Linked DNA regions of Oreochromis niloticus. Each later gene encodes a partner of the first gene's protein in a complex. Links are inferred from orthologs where the notes say so. Each region holds a gene or a part of one and is shown on either strand. Other genes may lie near its edges. The genes, in order: chchd3a, MICOS complex subunit MIC26, micos13 and apool.

The links.
Region 2: chchd3a (region 1) and MICOS complex subunit MIC26 share a complex: the UniProt entries of both Homo sapiens proteins name them as parts of the mitochondrial contact site and cristae organizing system (MICOS) complex. The link is inferred for Oreochromis niloticus from reciprocal best matches to the Homo sapiens genes CHCHD3 and APOO.
Region 3: chchd3a (region 1) and micos13 share a complex: the UniProt entries of both Homo sapiens proteins name them as parts of the mitochondrial contact site and cristae organizing system (MICOS) complex. The link is inferred for Oreochromis niloticus from reciprocal best matches to the Homo sapiens genes CHCHD3 and MICOS13.
Region 4: chchd3a (region 1) and apool share a complex: the UniProt entries of both Homo sapiens proteins name them as parts of the mitochondrial contact site and cristae organizing system (MICOS) complex. The link is inferred for Oreochromis niloticus from reciprocal best matches to the Homo sapiens genes CHCHD3 and APOOL.

Annotation. Positions count from the first base shown.
Region 1 is NC_031981.2:11,470,544-11,477,926, reverse strand, and holds the start of chchd3a (coiled-coil-helix-coiled-coil-helix domain containing 3a), read left to right. Parts: upstream 1-4,361; 5' UTR 4,362-4,536; coding exon 4,537-4,617; intron 4,618-4,680; exon of another isoform or gene 4,681-4,744; coding exon of another isoform or gene 4,745-4,822; intron 4,823-5,645; coding exon 5,646-5,885; intron 5,886-6,425; coding exon 6,426-6,486; intron 6,487-7,383. UniProt on the Homo sapiens protein: Component of the MICOS complex, a large protein complex of the mitochondrial inner membrane that plays crucial roles in the maintenance of crista junctions, inner membrane architecture, and formation of contact sites to the outer membrane.
Region 2 is NC_031982.2:27,116,932-27,123,534, reverse strand, and holds MICOS complex subunit MIC26, read right to left. Parts: upstream 1,739-6,603; 5' UTR 1,652-1,738; coding exon 1,031-1,651; 3' UTR 503-1,030; downstream 1-502. Other genes in the region: dnaaf6 (dynein axonemal assembly factor 6), read left to right, coding at 2,509-2,793, 2,967-3,035, 3,393-3,459, 3,560-3,665, 3,890-3,986, 5,438-5,523, 5,703-5,832. UniProt on the Homo sapiens protein: Component of the MICOS complex, a large protein complex of the mitochondrial inner membrane that plays crucial roles in the maintenance of crista junctions, inner membrane architecture, and formation of contact sites to the outer membrane.
Region 3 is NC_031986.2:33,823,058-33,830,810, reverse strand, and holds the start of micos13 (MICOS complex subunit MIC13), read left to right. Parts: upstream 1-4,731; 5' UTR 4,732-4,876; coding exon 4,877-4,905; intron 4,906-5,295; coding exon 5,296-5,452; intron 5,453-6,592; coding exon 6,593-6,650; intron 6,651-6,899; coding exon 6,900-6,997; 3' UTR 6,998-7,753. Other genes in the region: hydroxysteroid 11-beta-dehydrogenase 1-like protein, read right to left, coding at 709-802, 880-1,083, 1,233-1,363, 4,304-4,388. UniProt on the Homo sapiens protein: Component of the MICOS complex, a large protein complex of the mitochondrial inner membrane that plays crucial roles in the maintenance of crista junctions, inner membrane architecture, and formation of contact sites to the outer membrane.
Region 4 is NC_031966.2:31,495,258-31,503,209, reverse strand, and holds the start of apool (MICOS complex subunit MIC27), read left to right. Parts: upstream 1-4,938; 5' UTR 4,939-5,046; coding exon 5,047-5,058; intron 5,059-5,676; coding exon 5,677-5,775; intron 5,776-5,854; coding exon 5,855-5,980; intron 5,981-6,526; coding exon 6,527-6,581; intron 6,582-7,481; coding exon 7,482-7,580; exon of another isoform or gene 7,581-7,608; intron 7,609-7,952. Other genes in the region: si:ch211-26b3.4 (connector enhancer of kinase suppressor of ras 2), read left to right, coding at 976-1,185. UniProt on the Homo sapiens protein: Component of the MICOS complex, a large protein complex of the mitochondrial inner membrane that plays crucial roles in the maintenance of crista junctions, inner membrane architecture, and formation of contact sites to the outer membrane.

The DNA.
Region 1 (7,383 bases):
TAATACAGCTAATGTGTAATAAATATGACTTGGATAGCACTTTAAAAAAATTATACCACAGCATTTCCAAAACAAATTTTGGATTTTTAACACACAGTGAATGTATGTGATTCTTAAAGCAACACCAAATGATGCAAGCTAAACAAGCTATTTAGCAGAAACATACTGTTTTTGTGAGTAAAAAATAATGTCCTTGGCTCAGGAATCTATTTAAATGGCATTTTTGGATTCTAATTACCAGATGAGTCACTGATAATGAATGATAATAGCTGTACTAATTATCCTGAGAAAAATTCCAAGCAAAGATTAGAAGGCTGGTTGAACAGAGTAAGCTTATTTTCACATCTCAATTACACAACTTGGAATTTTCTAACAAAATGTCATCTCTGGGTGATTAAGAAGAAGATGTTTCTTTAGCTACCTGTTTCCATGGGAATGCGGAGGTGTAGGAGGGTGGGACAGTAAAACACTGAATCTATTTTTCACCTCATGATTAATTTCAAGATTTCTCATCTTCAAACAAAACACGAGCTTCGCATCATCGAATCATCTGGTCTTTTCTAAACAGACCACTCACCTCTGCAGAAATTAAACAAAGAGAAATTGAATTACCTAAAGATGGATCCCCAACTCCACTCAAACATCATAAGGTCAAGGTAAAGTATTAATACTGTGGGGGGAAAGGCAGCAATAATATAAAGGTTAGAAGAATAAAGAAACTTTTCTATTTGTGTTCACCTTTATATGTTGCTGGGATTACCCTTGAGTTTTGGAGCTCATCTTGTAAGGGAAAGATTTGCTCTTTGATGCAGCATGTTTTTCAGTCAATAACAGCAACATTGCCCATTATCTTGGTGCACCGCTGCGAATTTTAAAGCAACAAATGTTAACTAGCTCACATAATTGCATAAACCGATGCAATGGTGCAAAAAACAAGGTGGGTAATTACAGAGATTCTGTTTACATCTAGCTGGTATTAACATATGAGACACCTAAAAGGACGCTGGACATTGCATTTTCATTCTGCTGCATATGGTGAATGACTGAGCTATTAACAATAAATTAACCATATAAGCAAGGATCATTATTGCTCTGTATTAAAGTCAATTGAAATAGTAGTATTGCTTGCTACAATAATGCTGTGACTGGAAAAAAATGTTGTATTCAGCTAAATCTATTTCTATAAGCACTTCTTTCTACATAACCTGAGGCACTCCACAGCACGCCTTAAGGGTGCTGCTATACATTGTAAGTCTTTATTGCATAATGTGTTTGTAGTGGTGAGAAATGCCTCCATGGGCAAGGACAAGACTAAATACATTCTAATACCGAGTAAAATCACAGATGATGGAAAAGGTAGGTATTATTTCGCTATGTGATATATTATAAACCCATAGTAGCTACTAAAGTAGGTACAACAAGTCAAATCTACTCCAAATATGGTTGATTTATGCCAAATGCCTCACAGCTCCAGATAACAATCATATCCCAATCTTGACCAAACAACCTTTATTTTCAGTGTTGGAAAACCACTTCATAGAGTCTGTTGTGAAGTGATTCTGTCTCAAGATATTCCTCATAATATGAAGAGACTGATACCCTTTGCTGTAATTCATTCAAAAAAATCTTCCTACCGCTATATATATTTTCTTTCCTTTCCATTTTGCGATTTTTGTAATACTGTCTGTCATTATGATAAACTGTTTTATATTAAGAAATAATGTATTTGATCAAGGTTTATTTTGTGTAAAAGGGCTGAATGAACCCTCTGTGTATATCAAATTTCACAGTAATATCAGAGTATACACAGCCACGGTTGAATTTCCAAACAGATTTTCATTGATTTATGTTTGTACATCTGCAGCATATGCATTCCAGAAGACACAAAAACACCAAAATCGTCAGGAAACAGATTTATAAAGACTGTATTGCGTTATTGAGTGTATATAATATATCAGGTTTACAGGATTCCTATGAGCTGTCATTCCTCATAATATCCTCTCTTCTGGAGGCATATCAGATTTCCAGCTGTAATGTAATGTTCTCCAAGGCTGTATGAGTTGTTGAAATGGATATGGTATGTAGTATTTTTCAAAAAGGAACTAAACAACATGTGAATGAATAATAATAATAAAAAACTTTTTTATTAACCCTAGCTGTTGATTTAATTATGCAGTTAAAGTTTCATGTAGAACCCAAAATTTGACATTTCAGCATTTTTAACAATTCTAGCTGGTTAAAAAACACACACACCTTTTGTTTGTTTCTAAAGTCTGAAATGACCCCCAGAATACAATTTTTTTTAATACCTAATTAGAAATGATTGTGGTCTTTTTCTTTTTAATCTTTATTTGATAGGACAGTGGAGGGGAAACAGGAAAACTGTGAGAAAACCTATGGAAACAAAAGCAGTAAATGACCTTCGGATGGATTTCAAAGTTAGCCTTATGGCGTATGCTCAACCCAGCAAGTTGAGTTGGTGCCCCCGTTGTAGTCTTTTGTGGGATGACAGTCTACAAGAGCAAATCACGACTGCTTTTATTACATTAATGGGAACTAATTAGCCTACTTTGAGGTTGTCCCTGTCTATTCAGGGATGTTTAGAAAACAAATAGTCTTACAGATAAGGAAAATGAAAATTAACTACATTTATAAAAATACTACGATTGTTTACAAGAGGAAAGACAATGATATTTACCCTGAGAGAACCTCTTCAGAGGTAAATGAAACTCACTACCAGCATACATATGAGCTCAGAAGGAAAAAATCCTTCAGCTGATGCCATAGAGAGGAAACAGGACATGAATAATATAATATAAAGATCTTCTGGTGGAGAGGAGAAATTACAGTTGCATTAGTTACAGCAAGTCATCCGGGTCCTGAAGCAGCAGAGCAGCCCCAGACCATCACACTACCACCATGTTTGACTGTTGGCATGATGTTACTTTTTATGTGTTAGTTTTCCAAATATATATTCCCAAAGGTCTTGTGAGCATTGCTTTAGATGTTACTCTGTTTTTGTTTTGTTTGTTGAGTCATCAGTGCTTTCTTGGACAAATTTTGGTAGACTAGCCACTCACTTAGAGATTGATTAATAACCCTTTCCAGACTGATAGATATCAGTTAATGTTCTCTAATCTGTTCTAGAGTTTCTTTAGATTGTGGCATGGTGGGTCCCTTTTTGAGATGTTTTAGCCTACTTTGCTTGATTTCTTGATTCAACAGGTCTGGTAGTGATCCAACTTGGGTCTGGATAGTGAAATTGAACTCAGCTTTACAAAAATATCACAGTTAATTTTTTATTTTGTATTTACTCAAATATTTTTGTCTGATATTCGAATGTCTTTTAAGATGTGAAACATAGGAATAAAAAATATGCAAAATAAAAATAGAAGGACACAAGCACTTTTTCACAACACTGCAGATTATGTTAAAGATCCACATGTTAGGTTAATTTGTAATTCTAGGCCTTGAGTGAGAGGTAAATAAAGTACTTAAAGTGTATAGAATTAAAGGCTGTATGAATGTATGTTTAAATGGGGCTTGTAGAAGAGGTGGGCGGATCAATCCAACTATCGATAATATCAATACCAACCCTGGCACTTGTATTGGATCGATACCACTGCAATAGGATTACGATTGTTTCTGTCCTCTAAGTTCAATATGTAGCCAATTGTACTGTGTTAAATAAATGTGTTTTTTGGAAATGCAAAAAAAAAAAAAAAACCCTTAAAATATGCACCATGAAAAACATCTGTATTTTATGTGTTGACTGTCACATCTATTTTATTTATAGCCTACAGCACATTTAAACAACAGAAACTGACCCAAAGTGCTTAGAGACAGGCACATTTACACTCAGGGCTCCAAAAAACCCCCAAACCCTCAGTTTCAAAAAACATTAAAAGTTGAAAGGTATGTTTTGTTGTATTAACTAATGGTTGTGGAAAGTAATCATGCACAGTAAATCACAATAATTCAGTAGTTCAACATTTGAGAATGAATGATGATTCATCTTATAGATAATGACACACTGCTCTTTGCTATAGAAGCTGTCTCTATAGGTTAAAAGTACTGTTATGGTTATTTGCATATGCTGGCCCTGTCTTTACAAAATTTGCAGTACTAGCTTGTTGTCTAAATGTTTTGTGCTGTCAACTACTGACACAGTATGTTGTCCCAGATACACTCTATAGTGTCATATACACTACTACAGTTACAATACTGTAACAGCGACACAACTGACAGGAAATTATGACAGGCAATGTTGCGCGTCACTATCCCGCGCTACCACGTGAAATCAATAACCAATGAAAGTCGCTGTTGCATGGCCGAATGACGCTTCTGTCCAATCGACTCGCGTGTTCTTCAAATACGTCGAGTTCAGGAAGCGCTAAGAATCCCAAGCAGTGGTGAAAGTGAAGCCATCTATACCTGGCTTGAAGTAAACTGTCCAAAAATAAAAGCAAATTGCACTTCTGTGTTCTTACATGAGACACAGATAACTGACATTTGTTAACGAGCTGCCGTTTGACTATGGGAGCAAACAACAGCACCCGCCGCGTGTCATTTGAATCAGACGAGAACGACAATATAACGGTGGTGAAGGGCATACGGGTAAGTGATATGATGGACCTTAGTTGAACAGGTGTTACATGGCTGCCTTAATCCAATGCTGTGTAATCCGAAAGCATTCTGGAGTGGAAGTGCAGTCTTATGCTATCAAAAGCGCTACGTGGCTCAAATGACGCAGACTCCTGGCAGCCTGGAAACTTTCATTTATTTTCATTCATTCATGAAGCATAGAAGAAGCAAACGTGTGGTTAGTAACCCCTGCAGTTGCTTTGAGATTTAGTCTGAATAAACTTTTTATGGCTTTTTCGGAATGTTGACGTCACTTGCCTCGTGCTCTCCTGTCGGCTGCAAACGTATGGCTGTGTTGTAGATAATAATACCACTGATCAGCTGGTGATAAATACAGAGCAGAGCGGATCAGACTGTGGCTCTGTCTATTATTACTCAGTTGTTAAGCCAACGTGCCGAGACTAGTGCTATTTTGGTGCTTATCTAAAAATAATAAACACAATGTGTAGCTTTCTATAGGAGCAGCAACAACATAGTTAAGCATTTAAGGAATGCACTTATTTCTTATCTTACCAAGAGCTGCATCAGAAGATTGATACCATTTATACTTCAGAGCTGAAAACTGAATAGCTGAGCGTGAAAACTGAAAACAAGGCAAAACCCATGCCAGTCCATCCACCCCAAAAGTAAAAAATATCCCTAAAATTCCCACTAAATATTCTATTAACTTTATATTGTGTTTGAGTGAAATCTATAAATAAAGTGTGGTATTAATGTATACTTTATTGATCCCTGTGGGGAAATTCCTCTCTGCATTTAACCCATTCACCCAGTGAAGCAGTGGGCAGCCACTGGGCGCCCGGGGAGCAGTGTGTAAGGACGGTACCTTGCTCAGGGGTACCTCAGGGTAGCCCTTCAGTGGATTCAAACCCCTGACCTTCCGATCATGGGGCGACCACTCTACCTACTGAGCTATCCCCGCCCTAGCTTTATGCCTTTATTGTGATATCATCTTAATTTTTCATCTAAGTGTTCAACTTTTCTTCCACTCTACTTTGCAGCTTTCTGAAAATGTCATTAAGCGCATGAAGGAACCTGCAGCTCAACAACCTACTACCACTCCATCACCCCCAGCAGCTCCGGCTTCTCCTCTTCAGCGGCCAGTGCCTCCCCTTTTTGAGCCCATCACCTCCTTTCCTCCTCCCCCTCCTCCTCTTGTTGAACCTGTTGCACCTCCAGCTCCTCCTCAGTCTGCCACAGAGTCTGTGGCTGCACCTCCACCTCCACCTCCCGTAGAAAAGGTAACAGCACCCACCATTGCTGACATAGTTCCCCCATCTTCATTTCCCCCAGCTGCTGCTGTTGCTGCCGCTGGCGTTGTTGCTCCTGCTGTTGAGCCTGTAGCAACACCTTCTCCTGTTCCTGCTTCTGTTTTTGCTCCTGTTGATCCCCTGCTTCCTTCCCCCTGCCCTGCTCCAGCTGTAGTGGAAGTAGTCGCCCCGCTTGCTCCTCCTCCTCCCCTTGTAGGTGAACCATCTCCTCTTAAAAATGAATCCACTGCTTCCTCCCTTCCACTTGCTCAACCTGTTGCTCCTCCACATGTGGCTGAACCCTTTACTCCTTCATCTGTAGCTGAGCCTTTATCACCCCCTTTTCCTGTCAAGGCTGAACCAATCACCTCTCCTCCCCCTCTTACTGACTCCGAACCCCTCTCCTCCCCTTCTGTTTTCGAGTCTGTCAACTTCATGCCACCACAGCCTGCCAAGCCATTTGTTGCATCTCCCTTGCCTGAATTTAATGCTCCTTGTGAACCAGTTGCCCCTCCTCCTCCTCCTCCTCAGCCCAAAGTTGAACCAGTGCCCGAGTCCAAACCAGTCCCACCATCTCCTGCTGCATCAGTTGGTGAGTTTTTATTCCAGTTTTCTTCAAAAAAATCACTACTGGTAATACAAAAATAAATATATAAAGCATGCTATTATTCTCAATGTCAAAAGTGACCAAAGAATTTGAGGAAGAAGGAAGCTGATGTGGTTTGATTACTAACTTAAACAGCTAGTTATTCCAAAGATCAGACACGTGTTCCAGTTTTTATAGATTTATGCAGTTGTAATCTTTGACCTATGAAGCAGCTCTGCAAACTTCATTCTCTTCCCTCTTATAACCGATGGAAGTGTAGTAAAAAAACAAAAAAAAATTCGTTTTTGGGAGTGACTCATTTTATTATGAAATGTACCGGACACTCTTTACCTGTATGCTTAACTGCAAAGCCAAGGCTATGTGGGACTCAGCTGTCCATATACAGTGAATTTTAATGATGTTTATTGTGTGGGTGTTTACTTTAAACCACCTTAAGCTTTTTGCCTCCCAACTTTTCATGCAGATTGTAATCAGTCTTAATTTAAAAAAATGGGCCCCACAGTAGCCTCGGTCATATTGTGATTCATTGCCATCCCCTAACTGTTAATGAAATGATTAATTCTAACTTGTACTAATGCTAATAAATTGATGCTGTAATTAGTGGGCGATGATTCTGCCTCGTCACTGTGAAGCTCAGGCTGTCATAATACCTCCTTTACCTTCATGCAGTTTGGAAGTAAAATAGCATGATTATGAGGCTAAACTCGTGCTTTTTACTCATGTGGCTGTTATTAATATTTCTATATTAGTAATGGATCAATTAACACTTTATTTGAAAGAGGGACCTCCTAATCAACTTTTAAGAAGCCACAGAGAATAATCATGCAATTCCCCTTTGCTCTACAGAAGTTTATCCCGTCTTTCACGTCTATGTTTTGGTAT
Region 2 (6,603 bases), on another chromosome or scaffold:
TTCCTGATCATTTGTGAGCTCAGTCACTAGTTATATTTCATAAAACATTAAATTTACTAAGTTCTGGTCAAGAAGTCAGAAATTATGATTTTCCAGGAAATGCTCATTGGCTAATAACATTTTATTTACAAGTTGCTAACCAATGAGCATGGACTTAATTTCAGACTGAACCACTGGTTGTTTTGGCGTATCCAGTTTCAAAATCCTAAGCTGGCAATAGCAAAATTGTTCAACTCAAAGCTGAGATTTTACTAATTAGTAGGTGATGTGATGGTGGGTGTGTATGTCGTTTTAACTAGTGCTTCTAAGTACTTCTGGGTCATGCTGTTTTCTACTTCCACTCAACAGTATTTTAGCCATTTCTACTCCATACCATTTACTTTAAAGCTTTAGAATGACTTTGAAGTTTTTACTGTAAAAGCATTAAAATATAAAGCTGAGATATCGAGCATTACTGAGCAGTATAATGCAAATGGGTCTAATGAGTACTTAGTACTACAAATGTTTTGAGTTTATGTAGGATTATGACTTTTTAGCAAAACTTATTTTATACAATATGTTTAAAATCTGTGAGTATAATAATTGTTACCTGTATATGACAAATAAAACTTGAAACTAATACACAATTTCAGATCAAATGCGACTTGCCTACTTTGGTCTTTGTCACCCCATTGAACAAAACTTAAAATAAACGACTGATTATTAAAATCCTGAATTAGTTTTCTTCTCTTTGGTGCTGACCATCTTGTTTGTGCATGTGGCATTACAGGACACAGAATCAAGGCGGTAAAACAACTTTAATGTAAGATACTGCTTTATCTCTACATAAATACACATTCAAATCGGAAGGAAGTCATTCAAGTTGCAAATCCCCCCCTTCCCTTTGCCCGGCCTGAGTTTCACGTGAAGCTTAGTGCAAAGTGTAGGCATGAAAAAGTCACGCTGTCTAGAAAGCGCTCAGTTTACAGTATCGGGATAAAGCTGCTGTGTGATTGGCTACTGCTCGGTTATTGCAGTCACGCCGGGGTCATCACTGTTTGGTCTCGGAGTCGCTGCTCATTTCGGGTTTATTGACCTTCTCAGCTTTGCTCTGGGGGTTTAGGATCTTCTCCGCCGCTGCGTAGCTCTGCACGGCCAAGTCGTACACGGAGTCTCCGGTTGACTTTGCGATGGCCGCTGCTTTCTCCGGGTAGTAGAGAGAGGCGCTCAGGGTCATGAGAGTGGTCGGGTAGATGAGTTTCTTAATCCTGGAGCCTCTGGCAAGAACCAGGCCAAGGACTCCGGTAAAGCCGATGACTCCCGCACGGGGGTAGAAGTCCTTCGGGGGGTTCTTCACATAGGCGTATGCGTCGTTCCCAAACTGGAAGACCCCCTGAACTTTGGGTTTAATTTTCTCATAGGTGACCTGACACCAAGCAGTGTACGGCTCCGCTAACTTCCTGAGGGTGGCGACTCGCTCCTCCAGCTGCCCCGCTTTAGGCTCCACGTACCGAAACTTCTCCGGGGGAGCGGTGTACAGAGACAGTTCGTCCACGTTTAACGAAGCCGCCGCCACCGCTGGTTCCTTCTCGCCGTCACCGGCAGCAGCAAACACGGTGAACGGTGAAAATCGCAGGGCTCCCGGCATGGCACTACCTGTCACCTTCAACATGATCCCCGCGGGCCATGCATTCACTACGGTATCCACGGAGGGACAAGGCAGATAGCCCCGCCTCTCTGATTCTCACCCAAACGCTTTTACTACTCTTGAAAGCGCGCCAACAGTGGCAGGAGGAATAAAGTATATCTGTGAGGACAAGGCTTTCTTTACAGATAGTAATGATGTCTGTGCCCACATCTCCAAACCATGCTTCATTTGGAACTCCAAAGATATGCAGTTTAAAAACAAAGCGTTGTTTCACCATAAATTGACTGCCTGTCATGGATATGTTTGAATGGGTTCGTTATCAATAACGTTGCAAAAAAGGAATAACATACTTGTTAAAGGTAGATTGTGAAGGTATGGGTAAACTAAATACACTATACGAACTATATTTTTAATGACAACTTTCAAATAGGAAGTTAGAATGAGGACTTAAGCAGGCTGCTTTATTTTAGTAGTCTACAATAAAGTCCTCTGTGCCTAACTGGGATATCTGCTGTTCTGATCCACTGCCCTCATAATATGATACTCAAATATTCCACGTAAAAGTCAAAGCTAAGGCAAGGTCTGCTACCTGAGGTAGGCTAAACTGGATTAAATTATTAGTATTTGCATCACTTACACTATTTTTTTTCTCCAATGTTTCTTTTTAAACAGTTTTAACAGCTGTTTACAGTACAAGCATTTAGCCTGTAACAGCGTCCTATAAAAGTCACCCAGCAGCCATCTTGCTAACGCATTCAGGCATAATTATGACACCTATTTTAAACCATTACGTGAATTACCTTTCAGTTAAATTCAAATAGTCAGTGGGACATTACATTAATAAAGCAGTCGTTCATTCTTATACAACTCTGTCCTAAAACATGTCTTTAAAACCACCATCTTTGTTTCTTTTTGTTTATTTGTTTGTTTTCTCAGTGCCTAGTTTTTCTCGTATACAGTACAGTATGCATTATTCTCAAAGCTGCTTTAAAAAAAGAGAGCTAGAGGAGATCGTTATATTAGAAATTCCCTGGCAAGGCTTCTTAGCTCACGGCTATCTGCGTAACCGTGACTCTGGCCACGTAATTTGTTCGACGTCACTGGTTTCCATGGCAGCAGGAAAGCCTGGCGTCTCCAGGGAAACAGAAAGCGTCAACAATCCAAACGTGAGCTGCTAAAATTAGTATACTAGCACCAATTAAAATAATTGTTTTGTTATAGTTGCTTATAGTTTAGCAGCTTTTTCCTCCTTGTTTGTGTCCGCTGCGCTTTTTATTTTTATTTTTGTTTATTTGTTTTGTTTTTCTGAATGGATTGTCTTGGGGTATCTTCCGAACAGAGCCTCCAGGCTCTGTCTGCCTTGTTGTCCAGTCAGCAGGACGAAGAAGAGGAAGATGAGGAGTGTAAAGTAAGATCTACATGCATCCATGTTAAAGCCCTGCTAACACTAGCTTTTAGTATCTTCCTCGGAAATTGTTGTCTCTTTACATTTTTCAACAAGCAAAATTTTAATCCTATGTATATAGCAAGGGTAATCAATCAACACTAGCAAAATGAACATTTAAAAATAATTTTTCAATAAAATATACATTTTAGGGTATTTAGAAAAGTGGTGTAAGGTTTATTAGTCTGCAGGTGTAGGCAGGGAGGACCAATGGGGGAATATGGAGTAAAATAAAGTGGAGAGAATATGTATCATTGTATTTCAACTACAGTAACCATTAAGCCAAGTCTCCCCCACACTAATATTAGTTTATGTTAACAGGATGTGAAAGCATATGCACGCTTGGGTCCCGGACACATTGGCCCCCCACCCAAAAAAGAAAAACAAGGTACTATTTTTCAATTATAAGCACTCCATAAAAGTATTTATTCAAGCATACATACTTTTTCTGCATCTGCCTTTCTCTCTTTATGTGACTGTTTAATTAGTGTCAACCGCATACACGAAGAAGAACAGCAAAGATATCTGGTGTGAAGAAGAAGTGGCCGAAGGCTCACAGTATGATGATCTGACTGACCCAAGGCCACAACCTGAGTAAGACTGCAATGCAGAAAGAGACACACACCAACAGTGGATGTAAAAAAGCATCAAACGTTATGAAAAGTGGATATTTAAAGGTTCAAAAGAGTCCTCATACTTCTTCAAACACTGTCTGTTTCTGAGTTTAGTCTCCTTCTGTTCAAGGTAATGTCTGGTAATGTGATATTTATTGTGTTTGGTTTTAGTGTGTCTGCTTCATTTATAATCTCTGTGTGCAGGTATGAAATAATCCTGAAGCAAAGTGTAGGAACAGAGGATCTCTTCTTGGGATTAAGCAGAAAGGATCCATCCTCCATGTGTTGTGAAGCCATGCTGGTAACTTGCCAAGTGTCACAAGATTTCTTAACACTTCACTCAGTGCACTTTTTTGATACTAAAATGAAATGCACAAGGTTGTGATCAAGAGCAGCAAGGCATGAATCTCCTATTAAATGTTGGCTGGCTTCAGATAATTCTGTTGAAGACGTAGTTAGTTTTAGACTTTAGAAAGGAACAGTCTAAAAATGTTGAGGAGCACAGGTGAGACAGGTTAACCCTATAGTGACCAGGCTCTATATACGTAAAAAATATTTAAATGCTTCTAATAGTGCTTATCTTTCCTCTACTGTTCACCTGATCTCTGACAGATACTTCAAAATGTTCTCAAATTGCTAAGATTGTCTTTGTCTGTTACTTTGTGTAAATATGAAATGTTATGTATATTTAAGGGAATTGTGTGTTTTAGTATGTTGGTATCATTTTCACTCCAAAATACAGATGAACTGACTTGCTGACTTACAATACTTTGATCAGCAACAAATTACAAAGAAGACATCATAGATCAGGGTGTTTTTTTCATTGTCTTTAACTTCCAATCTTCTAAACAAAATCTAAACAAAAGTCTTGTTTGTAGATTTATAAAGCTGATTTTGTTCATCTAGATTTCAGTGGGAGAAACATTTCATCACTCACCCGGGTTACTCCTTCAGTCTCAGCTGACAGCAGGTTCCCCCAAACTTATAAACAATACAGTAGCATAATGAGAGGAAGCACCATTGCTTTCATGATCAGAACACGCATTGTCATGACCACTCTTCAGTGGCCATGAGGACTATTCACAGACCTTCTGGCTCTTTGTTAAGCAATGCTGCTAGTTTCAGTCATTATGCAAGCGTACTGTGTGTAAGGTTCGAGAAACCTGCATTTAGCTGAGACTAACAAAGTCACTTGGATGGGTGATGTAGTGTTTCTCCTACTGAAATCCAAATGAAAAGAATCAACTTTCTGGGATTTCCTCACCTGTATTATTGAGCATGCATTAAAACATATGTAAAAATATTTCCAATAAATAATAATTGGAGTCTGTATTTAAAATACTTTGTGTTAAAACACTTATAAATATTGAGATTACATCCATTCACTCTTTTAGATTGGTCATAGTAAGATGCTTGATTCTGGAATAATCACCGATATGGCACAATAATTACAGCAACTATTTAGGTACTTTCAACTACTGGAAGGATCTCCACAGCAGATCCACATATTTGATTTGGCACACATTTTATGCTGGATGCCCTTCATGATGCAACCATTTATCCTGCTTTGAAATCAACATAGTACACTAGCTGTTTCAGGTCTCAAACTGGGATGTTTCACGTGTAATGTGTGTTAACCTTTAAAAAGTGGAAGTAGAAGTAGAAGTTATATTCAAAGCAGGAAACAACTAACAACATATTAATGTGAACAGTGTAGAATAATAAAGATGCTAACTTTTCCCTCACGTGTAGGTTAAAATCAAACTACCAGACACTAAAGCAACAGATGTGGTGCTGGATGTGAAAGAAAAGTTCCTTGATCTACGGACGCCAAAATAGTAAGAGATCCTTTGAAAATGTAAGCTTTCATTTTTAATTCCCTGAAGACTTAGAGGCTTATGCATGCCAAGATCTGAGCTTTGATTGCTTTATCACACAACTCTTAATGTCTTTCAGTATATCATCCCCCCCTGAGTGCTACTTGTTTTTTGTAACCTGCCTTTCCATCTGTTTTCAGCAAACTGGGGCTCCATCTCCCTGATCCGGTCCACAAAAATGAGAGCAAGGCCCAGTTCTTCAGTGAGAGGGAGGAACTGGAGGTGACTCTACTAATGAAGCGTCCTATGGATTTTATCAATATGCAATGAAAAAGGATGACTTAGCAGCAATTACCATTATACAAACTGACACATTAAGGATTAAAACCAGAAAGGAATTGGGAAATAATCAGCAAAAACATGAATTTTTTCATGAATTTTGTGAGTTTAAGCTATTGTTTGTGTCATCACAGCCTCTATGACTGTTAAATTGTGGATTTCTAATAAATACTTGACTCCAAAATTGATTATTTTCATTTTTCGCCTGAAATTTCTACACCCAATACCCTACAATGACAACATGAAAAAAATTACTTTGAATTTTTTGCAAATTTGATAAAAATAAACAAAAAACATACAACATGTACAGATGTATTCAGCCTTTGCTCACCATTATGCAAGCGTACTGTGTGTAAGGTTGGGGAAACCCTTATTTTGAGGAACACTGAACATGATACCTGCAACTATCTATTTTTAAGCAATCTTTTATCTGCATAACATTTACCATTCATGGTGCATATTGCAATACAACAACTTAATGTAGCTGTTATTACTGACTTCCATGGTGTACACATCTTAATGTGGTAAACAGCTTAATTAATCTTTGAATTCAGGTCTTTTGAGGCCATTTTATACAACTTTTCACTGGACTGGAGCCTATACCAGCAGGGCTAATATATAGTGACTGAAAAAAGATTCACAGTCACAGTCCCACCTAGGAGAATTTAGAATTACCAATGAATCTTTCCTCATTAATGTCTTTGGGCTGTGGGAAGAGTTTTGAACATGCAAACTCCATACAGGAGTACCCAGAGCTCAGTG
Region 3 (7,753 bases), on another chromosome or scaffold:
GCTTCTGCGGTCAGCTTTGTGGTCACTTTCATGCTCTGGTGGGTATTCTTCAACTTCCTACCAAAACTTAGGCTCCTTCCCCAATAAAGATGTCCCCACGTCCCTTACAGCAAAAAATCCTGGCACAACTTCACCTGCTTCCAAGGTGCATGGAGAAGATGAAAGAATTAAAAAAGCAGGAACTCCAGCAACACTTGAGAAACGAAGAACAGCTTTAATAATTGACCAATGCGTTTTGGCTTGTGGCCTTCATCAGGGTCCACGTCCCTTACACCAAAAAAAGCCAACAACTGGACAATCAGTACTTCTGACTTTGACTGGCGCCCAATCCAGAAAACACTTTCCCTCTACAGATTCTCCTGCAGGTAGTTGACCCATGGTACAAGACCATTTTGGGCTTGTTTTAGTTGAGCTCACAAGAACTTATGGCCCAGCCACCTGGTGCACACAAACAAGCTCCAGAGTGGGTTATCAACTCTTGTCATCATAATACATTAAGTTAATCTTAATTACTGTATTACCATCACTTATTTATCAGTTGCAGTAGAAAGTGTCTTTAAAAAAATGTCAATTTAATTGTAATTGGTGGGTGAAAGTATTAGGAGGTATATATGTGCACACATACAATTTGTATTTTATAGTTTGTCATCATCTGCATAAAAAAGCATAAAGTATAAAAATGCTGAAGAAGTATAAAAACAAACCTACCTAAGAGCGATGAGACAACAACCAGTGATCCTTTATTTTGCTCAAGGGAGGGCAAAGCTTTCCAGGCCATCTGAATATAGCTGAAGAAATTGACCTTCACAAACAAACATTCATGAATCAGCATAGTCTCTCCATTTCCTGTTTTGAATGACCATCAAAATGCTCTGTTACCTTCATCAGCCATTTGGTGTGATCCACATCTCCCTTCCACATGCTGAAGGGGCTAGGCCCAATGTGATTGAGGACCAGGTAATCCAAACCTCCCAGCTTCTCCAGAGCATAATCCACCACTTTGTCAGGGTCAGACTCATTCGCCATGTCTGCTGCTATATAAAAAGCTTTCTGGGCTCCTAAGCTCAGACACTTTTCTACTACCTACAGGCCAAAATCATTAAAAATGCACTTGGTTAGTTTTATGAAAGAACTAAAGAATGTCTCTATTCATGACTGGCACAAAACAACAGAAGTAAATGGCAATCTATGAGCAGAATTTCAACCAATAACCTGTTATTACGTAAACTGACCTGCTGTAAGACTTTCTCCCTCCTTGCTGTGATAACAATTTGGGCTCCAAAGCGGGCGTAATGATACGCCATTTGTTCACCAATACCTGTACTGGCCCCAGTCACCAGTACCCTAGCCCCTTTGAGAGAATCTGAAACAAAGTTTTACCGTATTCAACATGGAATGGAATTGTTTTAATACATGAAAGGTTTATAGAAACAATAAAAATATGTGTTATTTCTATTAGTCAACAATAAATAGAGTAAATGACCACAGTAACTACTGCATACATTGTTAATGTGTCTAAGCATGCAGAAAAGGTTTTTAAGTGAACTTGATGACAATGAAATAGTTTAGTTTATCTAGAATCATTCTTTAGGCAGATATATACCCTAAAAAGATAAGCTAATCTTAGTCCTCCATTAGAGCTGGGCGATATAAGATTTTTTCATATCACGATATGTTTTTTCATTTCAGGCGATAACGATATATATCACAATATAAGCCAAATAACTATATTTGTAAGATTTAAATGTGCCGTTGCTCACAAGTAAAATGTGAAATAATCACCAGCTTGTTTTGATTTAAATATTTATTTCCCATAATAAGTTCAACAGGGTAGATGTACTTAAGGAACATGAGACTTCAGTTTCAGATAAATAAAGGCAAATATTACAAACTACACAAAAGGCAGCCGCTAAAGCGTTTAAGTTTCAAAATAGAACAAACAAAACAGACTACTAAATTGTCAGTTCCACTTAGAAACAAAATATTAATTCTAAAAATAAATCTTAGTTTGTTTTACAGACGAACAGACAAAATTTACTAACTTTTGTCAATATCAAATAAACTGAGAACTAAAAGGAAATTCTCAATCTCTCCTTGTTGTATAGCTTAGCTTTTCAAACAGTTTTAACAGTTACTTTAGTCTGACAAAAGCCGAATGACGAATTAGCGCTTTCAGTCAGAGATTGAGCATGCACCGCTTTATTGTATTTCCAGACTTGCTTTCGGCACAATTTACAGTGCGTGCTACTCTGTTTTTTGTCAGACTTGAAATAGCCGAAATACCTTCACACTACGGAACTTCTGTGGCCCTTCCGTTCGACAATCTCTCCGGTATTGGAACCATCATCTGTTTTTTCTTCGGTAACCTTCGCTCACGCTCTCGGTTGATTTTTCTCTAGTCAGCAAACTCATTTCCTTCATTACCTGGGCAGCCCGGCTGCAAAAACAAATATACATGTGAGCCTTGGCACTTGTGCTGTACGTATCAAGTCACGTGACGTGACGCTGCAGCTGTGATTGGTTCGGCTCTGCGCTACTTAATTTGGATTGGCTGTTCTTTTTTTTTTTTTTAAGAGGACAAGAGAGATGAGGCCTATCGCAATAGTTTATTTTTTCTATCGAGAAAAAGTTATTTCGCAATACATATCGTTATCGTTCTATCGCCCAGCTTTATCCTCCATATATTGCTTCAGGTCAAAGGGCATTTGAAACTTTTCCATCTTGAGAAATTGCAAAATGCATACTCTTCATTTGGACTAGTAAAATGCTTGGATATTGTGTTTATTTATTTATTTCACCAGAATTTCCATGCTGTATTTTGTTTTTGAAGGTCCCATATCACTCGTTTGTTGCTTTAATTCTTTGCCTGGTGCTATGAACATTTAAATATCCTGCAGGTTTAAAAATTTTCACTCCCCATGCTGGAGAATGGAGCCATATGTCAGTACCCTTTTCCTCTCAAAGGTTTAGCTAAATGTGCAATCAACTGCATGCTCTCCCTCTCTCTCTTATTCCACTTCTTATTCCCATGAAGGGTTAGGGTTCATGAAGCAGCCATTCAAACTGCATTTTATTACTAACCAAAGCAAACACAAGGCATCTGAAACAAATCGTCCTGCGCTGTCGTACATTTGTGAAATATAGGCATTTAAAAAATGTGGTATTTCATAAGGTTACAGTGTTGCAGAGTAGAGCACATGGGATATGCAAGTATACATAACACTAGTCCACTGACATGGACCGCATAATTTCATTGCTTGTGGAAAATTGACTCTACAGTGTGTTCTCAAAATGTGAATAAATGCAGGATTCTCTCTTTGGTAAGGCCTTGGTCACAAGCGGAGAGCAGAATATCATCAATTACTCGCTCACTTTGTGCTGTTTCTACTAATTTTCTTTAACAAATCATTAAATTGTTACTATTACCTTTCCAAGTTGGCAGTAATACCCACCCACACCATAAAACTGCCTTTTATTTGTTAACAATGTGGCATGTATTAGATCACAAACCTTTTTTTTTCTAATATAAATTGTTGGCTTAATTTTTTCAGATTTTATGTATCCTTTTTTTAATAGCAAAGTCTGACCTGGCATTTTTACTCAGAATTCTGATATCTGCTGTTGTTTTTGTTGTTTTCCGGGCCTTCTGTACATTGTTTTTTTCAAGAATGTAACTGGTAATTTAAACATTCCTGTGGTTTCTGGGTTTATAGCTCATGTTTTTGCTTTTTCAGCCTTTGATTCCATCATTAATTCTTCGAAACCCATATTGAACATGCAAATTGATTTCTTGGACTCAACTTCAGACCTTTTATCTCCTTAATCTGGCTACGCCTGGCCATAAAGCCTCATATAAGTTACTGGCCCGGGTGCTTTTGAGCTTCAAAAATTAAATCAAATATTAAAAAACATCAGTTTCGGGGTTGACTGCACATGTGATAGATGTCTATTAAAAACAGACTTCATATGTATAACAAACAATGACTATATGACTATAATAATGAGGTGTTACCAGATACTAAGTTATAACTACGACATAACCGAGTAGGCTAGCTAGGATTCCTGCACATGAGTCTTCCCTTTTTCATGTGAAACCTTCATTTTTAAGTTAAGTAAAAAAGTGTGACTCTATTTAGCTGTATTTACCTAATACATTGCAAATGCATACCACGCATATGTTTGGACCACTGTAGGCCCAACACCTATCACATTATTGTCTGCTGGACAAACCTGCATGCCTGCTGCAAGTTTGCAACTAAAAACAAGCAAGTACTTTCTCACAATGACAAAGAACAGAGTTTACCGGCATCAAATCTGGGTGAAGTCCATTTGGCAGCCAGGAAAGCAACACATATACTAGCTAAAAGAACTTTTGTGACAGCGCCCATTATGACAATTTGGTAGCAGCTGAGCGAAAATGCTAAGCTTTAGAAGTTTCTGCCAACTTTCACAATCCCAGTTTGAGAAAACAAAGTGCATTTTATGCAACCCACTATTTCTCCCCTCCTTCCACTTTGTAAGGGGCGGGGGTTGGTCAGACTGGCCTGCCCTTTTTCATGGACACAAATCATTTTTTTTGTTACTTTAATGCTTTTAAAAAATCTATATATTTTTTTAATTTACCAAAGCCCCAAAATCTTTAATTTATTTGCCTATAAATTTATAGTTTAAAAAATCAAGGCTGACGAATCTGCGCCTCCGAAATTACATCCGCCCTGACTTTTGAAACAGCAACTTTATTTACACAACACTGGTGCACACGGATCATCAAGCAGGGTTGTCCTTCAGTGAAGCTAACCAGCTAGCCTGATCTACGGCTCATTGTCGGAGTTCTCGCAATAACAGCTTCTTAAAGGAGAATAGACCGCGCTGAACGATGGCGACGAGGATTTGGCCTGTTATGAAGTTAGTATTTTTATTTCAACTCCCGCGGTTTCGTATACTATCACTTGTCTAAATGCTCTTATTGATAATTAAGCTAACTTAGGCTAAGCTAGCTGTCAGTCATACCAGGTCATTTTCAGTTGTTTTCGTTTTAGCTCCAATATTAAGACTTAAAATATGCTTTTCTTTATGGAGTTTAACGTTGGGCTGATATACTAACTTTCTGCAATAACGTGAGTTAATGTGGGCAGTTGTAAATTTCCCAACTATTAACTGATAACTTAGCATCAAAGAATAATTTGTTGTTTACTTTGATAATAACTACGTGTGTCTGTAGTTTCAGTTTGCCCTGTTGGGAAATTGGGGTATTTCAGATTAACTGCATTACTGCATCTGTTCTTTCATTTCCAGACTGGCCACCAAGGTGACCATTGCAGGAGGAGCTGTCTATGTTGCCTATGACTCTGGTCTCTTGGGGAACAGTGAACAGGGCTCAGAGGCTCTGCAGAAGGCCAAAGCAGTAATCCCACCCGCCATGGAGGAATGGATGAAGTACTTTGGTGTGGAGGTACAAGATGCACGTCATAAACAACTAGGTCTTCCTGGATCAGTGCCACTAGGCCTAATACAACATAAAGTAAAATGGTTTTAAAAAGTCATTGCATTAAATAGATCAGTGCTGCAGACAGCAAATTTGATGACTCATACCATAAATGTGTAGAAATTTCTTTTTGCTTTCTAGCCTTTCTCTTATGAGATCAGAAACGCTCTAATGAATACATAGTTACAGTACAATCATGACATCATAAACCTTTGTGAGGCATGTACTTTGATTCGTGGTAATGTATGCTGCAGACCTAACTAGCTCTGGAGCAGGTTGTGGTCTGGGTTAGAGCTCATCAGGTTGAAAATATAGTCAATAGCAATTCTAACAATTCTTCAGATTCTCCTGTGTCTTAAGTCTGGTAACTGAGACTCACCAGATTTAAGACTAAGACTTTATTAAAGTAAATATCTTTTCCAGCATTACTGACCAAAGTGCTTAAAGTGCTCATGCTCATACAGCACTTTTAATACTACTGGACTGTCCGTTTCTTCCCACACACACTCACACCACTCCTTTAGCTTCAACACTGCTGTTGCTATATGCCTGTATTATTTAATCTTTTCAAATTTTTCAGATATCATAGTTGTAGCTTTGTAAGATCCACCCATGTTTCTGACTGGTCGACTGCTGCCAACATCTTGCTGAATACACTCACAGCTAGATTTTTTTAACTCTGGCTTGGCTTAGTCGATAAACACCTTTGTAATTCTGCTCATCATGGTTCTCAGTGTTATTTTAATTGAAGTCAGATAATGGAAAGATATCCAGGAAATGCTGAAATTGCTTCATAGTACAGGTCCTAGTTCTTGCTGACAAATCAGTTCAAGTGATTAAAAAAAACAAACAAACAAAACAAAGAAAAGAAGCAAGAGTATTTATCCATTTCTTACTTATGATTTTATTCACGAACTCCAACAAGCAAGTTTTCACTTGAAACAATGTACAAATGTGTCTCCTCCTCATGATTTTATTTTAAAACCTGATTTGTTTATTTATGCATTTATTTTTTTATTACTGTTTTGCACTGGACAGAATAGTAGTTGTATTGTCCAGTTATAATAAACACTAATGCAAACTAATGCACCTTATCCCTCTTGTCAGGCTCAGCTTCCAACCATACCTAAGATTGAGTTCTCTCCTGTGGACGCGTGGAATTCTGGTAAGAATTCAATTATTTGTTCCTTTTTTAAAAAAGCAAGGGTAAAAATTTACTGTGGTCACAAGTTTTGCACAGACTTTCTGTTGTGTATTTCACTTGTTACATGCAGTAATAGTTTTAAAATTGTTTGGAGGCAGTAGTTTGTTTTAAAATAATTTTGGTATTGGTATTACTTTTGGTCTAGACCCTATATTGACCCTGATTTTTCAGTATCTAAAACCCAAACTTCTCTTTTTTCTTTTGTTGCAGGCGTACGGTGGACGATTTCAAATCTCTCTGAGGCCCCGACAAAAGCCACTGAATACACAAGTCAGGGGCTGCAGTACTTGAAGGACCTCACAAAGTGAACATGAACTCTCTGGGCAGCCTCACATTATCAGTCCTTTTGACTTTTGCACTTGACATTACTTCTTCAAATGTTGAACCCTGCCATAAGAATGAAGCAACACACAACGTCAAAGAAAACTGCTTGATTAAAAGATTAAAAGCAAGGAGTGTACTCTGCTGAATGGGTACTGTGGTTTTCTAACTGATAGTGGCCTTTGGTGGGAGATGTACATAATGGGAAGAAAATTTTATTTTTAAGAAGGCAATCTTTCATTTTGTGTATACCTCAAAATTGTGTATACCAAATAGTTGCTATCAGCACTGTCCAGTAGAGAGTGTTATTCTGCCCTCACCTTGCCCAAAAAATGTTAAGAATATCTGTATGTGTGTGTATATATATATATATATATATATGCAATTTCACTATTTGTGAGCAATATATCAATCTTAAAAGATTTTGTCTCATCTTTAGTTTGATCTATCAAGTCATATAACATAAAGTGCTCGGTCGACAAAAAGACCATACAAATGTGCAAAAATCTTTATTAATCATGACAATAATAATGACACAGTTTACTGCTGATTCTGCTACAACTTGAAAAGAGGGGGAGATGACTGAAAGCGTGAGGAAGAGCACACGCAGCCATTTATGATCGGTTGACTCCACTGTACACGATGCAGACACACTCCACAGCACCGCGAGCGGTGATGTTTAGTGTCATCCTTTTCTTTTATTTAAATGTAAGAAAACATTACCCATTCTGCCACGTGTTGTC
Region 4 (7,952 bases), on another chromosome or scaffold:
CACATTTTGGACAGAGAAGACAGATGGTTTGAAAGAGGAGTGAAAGAAGCCATTTATGTCCACTGTGAACGACCATCCTTGAACTGAGGCGGTGGTTTATGACACCAACTGTCTGCCATCTATAATCCAGTTCTGAGATCCCTTCCCAGACGCCTTAACGCCCACTCGCATCCTGGGCCTTCTGACCTCAGGAAATCACATGATAGGGTGGGGCTAGGTTTCACAATGAGCTCACCCAAAACCTTGGCTGCTTGTGACCTACACCCGTTTTCACATCTTGGCTCGTGTGATGAGGTAGAGGATCATCAGGGGGTTCTTTGTCCACTATTTGACCTTAGAACTGAAGGAGCTTCTCGGATGAGAGTTGAAACGTCTTCAAGCAACTTAAAGAAGTCCAGACGCTTTTCTTTCTAAGCTCCTTAGACTTAGTGTTAAAAGGGAGTTTTTCCTTCCCACTGTCGCCAAAGTGCTTGCTCATAGGTGGTCATATGATTGTTGGGGTTTCTCTCTATTATTGTAGGGTCTACCTTACAATATAAAGTGCTGTTGTTGTGATTTGGCGCTGTATAAATAAAACTGAATTGAATTGAATTGAAAAATAAAGATGTAAAAAAGCAAGATTTCCCCCCTTCATAATACGGCCCACACTCCGAAAAGTAAGATGCAAGATGGGGAAATAATGTTTTTCTGTAAAATTAACATAGAAGTACATATTTACACAATAGTTAAAATTACTTACAGTGTAAGTAATTTTCTTGACTGACATGTTACCCCCTTATTCTAGTCAACGTATTTATAGATAAACATACAGCAATTACATTGTAGTTTCAAATGAAATACATTGAATTTCCATTTAATTACAGGGGAACTACATCCTTTATCGCAGGGTCTATTATAAGTGTTACCAGGTCGTTGGTTTTTTTACACACAAAAACAAACGTGAGGTTTTAATGTGGTAACGCTCTTCTCCTACAGGCCAAAGAGTCGGAGCTAGCAGTGATCTGTTCCCTCCTGGAGGACCCTGGCCTGTGCTCCCAGACCTTCAGAGAATGGAAGCAGTGGCACGGCGAACTCTTCTCAGACATCTGCCAGCTCAGCCCCGGCACCAACGGCCAGGATGACCTCTCCCCGCTGGCCGCGCCTCTCATGACCCACACACACTCCTTCATCGAGACCCACGTGTGAGAAAGAGACGAGAAGCGAAGGCTGAACTGACACGCACACGCAAACACACACACGCGCGCAGTAACACGGAGCTTTACATTAGCTAACCCTCTGTCCTGGTTACGACTCTGAGCATGCACACACACACACACACACACACACACACACACACATTGTAAGATGTGTAAATATCATAGAGGGAACAGTCCTGAGACCTGCGTGTATGAACTTTTGATAATCCCGAGGACCCCACAGGGTGCCTATTGCATGCCTGAACAGAAAGCATTAATCTTCCTTTGTCTATGGATCTCAGCATAAACGCCACACGCTTGTCAAGCAAAACGGGGGGAAAAAAACAGACTTTTTAACACAATTTTTTTCTTTTGTATTATCTTGGTTTTGCTTTTGCTTTTTTTCTGCTTTATTTTAGGGGTAAGGGGGAGCTATGTAGCAGCAATACAGAGGAAAACCCTTTTCACCACAGCACTGTACTTTTGTACTGATGAACTTTGCACCCAGAGCCACCAGTTCTCCCCCTTTCTCTCTCTGTTTTTTTTTCCTCTTGCGTATCTTTTTGAGTTACAGGGACCTCACTGTTATTTCAGGCTGATCTCACGGGACAGTGCGGGGAAAGTAAAGTGTGAGACTGTGAGAGGTAGCCAGCAATGTCGGTTTATCAGCGAGAACCCCTTTGCGCTGGCCGGATTCATGTGCTGAAGGAGGCTCCTCTGAACGAGTGCAGTTCTGTTGGCATCTTCTCTTCCTCTCGTTTCTCTCCATCACCTTCTCTTTTCTTAGCGACTTCTTTCTCTAGTCCTCAAAGACTTGTGTATATGTGTATACTGCTGTGTATACTGATGTAAATGTTTGCGTTCCACTACCACTGTGATAGGCTTCTAGAGGTAGCGGAGGGAAGACAGAGAGTATGTATTTGTGCGGGTGCAAAACAAGTTTATTATTATTACTTTTTTTGGTTTCTTTCATAGTTTTTTTTCCTTAAACCGTGAATGCAAGAGCTTAGAGAGTTCTTTTTCAGTCACTCACTACAACGAATGCACTTTCTATATCTCTATATCTCATCGGCTGCATCACAGGGTCTACGTGTCATCGGCCTCATTACCATTGCTGTTCAAATATCAGGTAAAAGCATTTGCCGTCTCATTTTCTAAAGATTTGTGTACAGTCTACAAATATATTTAAACATAGAAGACTATATAAAATCTATTTACGTTTTGTGTCATAGATATAATGTAAAGTATGATGTATTCTATGCCAAGGTTCTGCAGTGTCCCCCTCTTCACTCTGTAGATGCAGGGTGTTTAGCAGTTGAGCAAATAGGAGGCGACCGACAGCCGTCGCTGATGGTCTTTACTGGTTTACATCACGGCTGACCATTCTCTGGGTGGTGCGTTGCATGAGACAGAGGCCTGGGACTGATTTGAATGGACAGGGTAAAATACTGTGGATCATTTGTGTTCCTTTTTTTTGTTCCTTCTCACAATTGCAAGATAATTAGACTCGTAGCGCAAGATAGATGCAAAAGTACCGTCGAAGGATGACTTTTTTTTTATGTGCTCGTAGCTTTCAAGTCTTTGCTTTTCATTCTGCAGTGTTTAAAGACACGTACTGTACCATGAGAATTAAGGGAGGTTTTTCCTCCTCCTTTAGCATCCAAGCAGCAGGTTATAATTTGATGTTTGGCTTACATAGAAGACCGACCTGCATCCTAAAGAAGCTTACACCTTACTCCAAGTGACATCACTGCAGTTGCTTCCAAAGTGAAAGCTAATTTGACATTCCCTCTAAGCATATGGTTGATACTGGGCAGTCACAACCTCTGCACTAAACGGTCTGTAATGTCTGTGAAACCGGGATGAATCATTTCATCCGCAATATCAGGCCAAGGACTCAACGGTGCCCCCCAGTGTCGAGGACTCCGAGAGACACGTGTAGCACCTGCTGCATCCAGCACTGTCTGTACTTAGTCTTCATATTTTACTGTTCTTCTTCATGAGTTTTCATCATGTCACACTGTAGTGAAATATCAAACGTGCCCCAGAGATATAGCTCATGTTATTTGCCTGTTTTTTGTTTGTTTTTGTTTTTTTGCTAGTTTGTTTTTTAATGATTAATTTGAGAGTAACACAAAGAAACTCAATGATGCAAGCACTTTCCCTGTGCCTCCCAATCCTCTCTTTGGCAACGAAAGGACTGACTATTTCCGCACACAGGCACGCACACACACACAGACACACACACGCAGCTGTAGAAGAGTTACAATACAGTTTTAGTCTGCAGACCTCTCTCTGTTTGTCATCTGTAGTGTTGGTCTTCTTTCTCCAACCGCTGCTCTGCCGAGCAGGTGACATACTGTAGATTAAAGGAGTTCTGAGAGTTTTCATTTGTAGGCACCGACTGTGTTATTCCTCCCGAATCTTTTTGTGTGTGTAAACCTGCAGAAACAGGCCGAAAAGGGAGATTCCACTGTGTGTTCTTTCAGGGGTGTACACCTCATGGTACATTGCACAGGTGTGTAAGATGTAAGTTGCACTGCGACATTAAAAAAAAGGAACATATTGCTCTTTTTCAAGGATAATATTAGCTTACTGTTATTCTGTACATTAAAATGACTAAAGATGATATTAAAAAAGAAAGAAAATTACATTTATTCTTCCTAAAGTAGCCTTTTTTGGTTTCATATATATGAATATATATTACAGAAAATACAGATTGTAAACCTAAGTTGTTAAACTTTGACTTCAATAAACTGAATCCTCTGCACTATGGCCGGTTAATGTTTGCCTTTCCTCTGATTTATTGAAAGAGTTTTGCCGTGTCTTCTAATTAATAACAGTTTCAAGTTAAGGGCAGGAAGCCCTATGGTATGCTGTGCAACCCGTGCCATCCATCTATCCATCATATCTTTGTCAATTTATAATGTGGTGGGCAAAAGCTTTGTTTCCAGGCTGTCACTTGGCTGACACACTGACAGCCCTTCACACTCACATTTGCACTCTTTTAAAGATAATCTTTATTCTGGATTCATTTCTTGGGGATCTATAGCCTTGTTGGGGCCTTACTATTGGAATGAGTATGTGCACAATTGCCTAAACAGATTCAGCATATGAATATAGAGAAGGTTTTTTGATACTGGAAGCTTCCATTAGTAGTCTGCTTGTACTCTCAATACTAATAAAACAGGTTTGAGCAGGCTTTGGTTGCCTGCAGGTAAATAGTCCAGGTGGAGAGCAAAAGAAGGATGCTGTTGAAATGCAAGACATAATCAGCAGCTATTCCTGATGTATTTCCATTTGTAAACAATGTTGCAAACCTTAGCATAGATATCTAGTGGCTTCACCGGCAACCCAAAAATTAATTCCTAGACTGATACTGTTTCATCAAATCCAGTGCAACATGTGCACCTGGGCTATTCTGGTGCAGAACTTTGTGTGTGTAGGTTGATTTCTGACTGAACACATCTTAAAGCTCTTGTGCACAAAGTTAAGTAGTACAGTAAATTTTCTTATATATATTCACTTCATTAAAACTAAACTAAATGTGGAGAAATCCTGTGGTGCTGGAACATGTGGCCCCCCCAGGGTCGATGCTGGCAATGTTTCAGCAACATAAATAACAACTCATTTACATGTGAAACTGCGAGTAGGAGTTTATTTTTATTTTAATTACACGTATGCAAATGTACAAAAGCAAAGGTCAACTGTACGCTCAGTGGGTGAGCAACATGTGGACTTAACTGACGAGTAGGATCGCACAGCCGAGCTGCAACTCCCACTTCAGCCCATTAGGTGGCAGTAGCCGACCGCGGAGTTTTTTGGGCTAGACTGAAGCTGTAACCAACAGAAGAAGGGGGAGAGCGCTGTCATGGCGGCCAAGGTGAATGCATGTCATTTTCTCTTCAGCAAAGTTTTTAGCTTTTATTACAATGACTTTTCAATGAAAGTGTAGGCTGTGTGTTGGCGTCAAGTGCCCCGTAGCTGCTAATGTTTACTTGTTCTGGTTGTCACCTCTCAGGCGTTGTTACGCTGCACGAAAAAGCTTTGCTAGCTATGTGTGCTGTGCTAGCTTCGCTGAATGACTCCTAAAAAGAATACACGGAGGAAGGTTTTAGCAGAGGTTACGTCTTTAAAAGTTTGCAACAGCTGTTTAACCTTAATAGCTGTCAGTCCTGCCTTTGTTAGCTTTCTAGAGCCACATTAAGCTACAACACAAACACAGTCGGTAAGGGTAACGCTAGCATTAATGTCAGTTAGCTTAACTAGTTGAAAACAGTTTGTACACACAAAACAAAGGGAATAAACTCAGGATGTATACTTAGAAGTTCATTAATGCAGTATAAATAAATATTTGAAAGACTGGAAAAGCGGTGGTTTGAAATATATTGTGGTATTATTATTAATTCTTCCACTCAAAGTCCACGAAGTAAGCTGTGATAGTGACGTGGTGTTGCTTTGAGCTGACTGACACTACAGTGTATCCCCCCCCCCCCGCCAGGTGGTAATGGTGGCCGTCCCGACTGTGCTGGGAATAGCCTCCCTCCGTGTGTACTCTGTGAATGAAGCGCCCGCTGATGGGCTGGTTACTCGAGAAAAGGTGTGTATTCATGATTTATATGGGATATTGCCATTCATAGCCATAATAACACACCAACTCTCTACCTCCCTTTCCCCAGCTCAACATCTACACCCCGGTGTTGCAGTCTGCTCAGGGTAAGTTTGTCCCAGAGAGTCCGGGGGTCATCGAGAGTGGAGTGACTACAGCCAGACAGACAGTACTACCATTTGTGCACACTGTAAAGGTATTCACGTTTTTGTTTTTTTTTGTCCCGTTGTGTACATGTAAAGCTGCATGTCGGAAAAAATCTCATTCACATTCACCGTCAAGTACTGATGTAGCTCATGCTTTCACATCCTCTTCTGCACTTTTAACACAAGCAGATGGTGGAAACATGTGTTTATATTTAAACGTATGAGAGCTAAAATGCACCAGAGAACTCTTATCTTGCACCTGCGAATTTAGTTGACACCACTATCTTTTTGCTGCTCATTGTGGTTTACAGAGCACAATCCCACATGCTGCAAGTGCTCGGTGCAGGAAGGATTCTTGCAGGTTTAGGAGTTAGACAGGAAACTGTGTTCATGCAGTTTAACTTCACAATGTGAAGTTACACTGCATGAAGTTTGCTGCAAGAAGATTTGACAGTTTGATTCTGTGAAACACGGGTTGTTGGGTGGGGGTGAGCAGTTAGCACTGACTCACATGTATCTGTTTCAGTGTTGCTTAAACAGGCATGTTCTTGATGAACTTTTGTAGTGGTTTCAGTTTAGTCTTCTGTTCCCTGCAGGGTGCCTGTATCTCTGTGAAAAGGGGAAGTATTGATCTTTACCATGCTGGAGAAGGTGAGTAAACAACAGGCAAACAACAGTCTTAGTTACATTGCACCTAAATATAAAATTTCAATAATAATAAGACATTTAAAGTTTTCAACATGTCACAAATTTACGAAGTAAATATATTTCAAGGGGTGCTATTGATGTGACATTCTCACCAGGTATCTGTAACAACCCATCCATTTCACACATGCAAAGAAATCAAACCACTGATGTCCATTAATTATGTGTAATAGCGAGAAATGACACCGGGAAAAAGTATCAAACGCATGAAAAGGGTGGTGCAAAAAGTTGTGGAAAGTCATGACACTAGATGAAATCAATCCTGCCACTTGTGCAAAGTGCAAATTAATATCAGCTGGTTCATCACCAACTGATGGCCTGTAAGGAGGAGTCTCATTACTAAGGTGTAAAACCAATGAGCTCTCTCAAGGCCATTGCAAAACATACCGAAGAATTTCTAAACTAGTGAAGGTTCCAGTGAGCAATCCCAAAGTGGAAAGAACATCATGTCACCATAAACCGACCATGACCAGGTGCCTCCTGCAAGATTTCAGACAGAGGAGTGAAAAGAATTATCAGAAGAGTTGTCTGAGAGTCAAGCAGCCCTAGATAGGTGCTGCATATCACCCCCAAAACACCATACCAACAGTGAAGTTCAATACTGTGTGTACAATACTTTCTCCCTGTGTCATTTCTCATTATTACACATAACTTAATTTATGGCCATCTTTGGTTTGATATCGTGGCATTTGTGGATTGGATGGGTTGTTTAACACAATCTGGTCAGAATTTCATGTAAATAGCACCTTTAGAAACATATTTAATTTGTGATGTATTCAGTACATTTTTTTAAGGAAGCTGAATGTATTTTTGTCAGTATCTTGATTTCTGTTATCTGCTCCTCAGATTTATACTATTACCTGAAGGACCCTCCCCCTGGTTTTCTGCCCAGATTTGGCACCATCACCGTGGCTGGCCTGCTTGGCATGTTCTTGGCACGGAAAGGTAACTCGACCTCACAAACAGTTTAGGCCTGCAAGAAACGTTTTAATCAGTTTCTCGTATTAAATAAAGGAAAATGTTTGAAAGAGTGTTGGTCTAAGTGTGAACGGTTGTCTCTCTGTGCCCTGCAATAGACAGGTGACCTTTCCATTGTGCCATATTACAGCCGGGATAGGCTCCAGCCCCATGTGACCCAGTAAAAGCATTGCATACGACTATAACAAATGTGGCATACGCAAACACTGCACACACAGCAAGATTTTGCTAGTAAGCTTTTTTTTTTTTTTTTTTTTTTTTTTTTAATTTGTTCATTTCAGGCACAACAATAAAGTTGAACATAAAGTGCACAAAAAACAAAAACAAACAACAAAATGT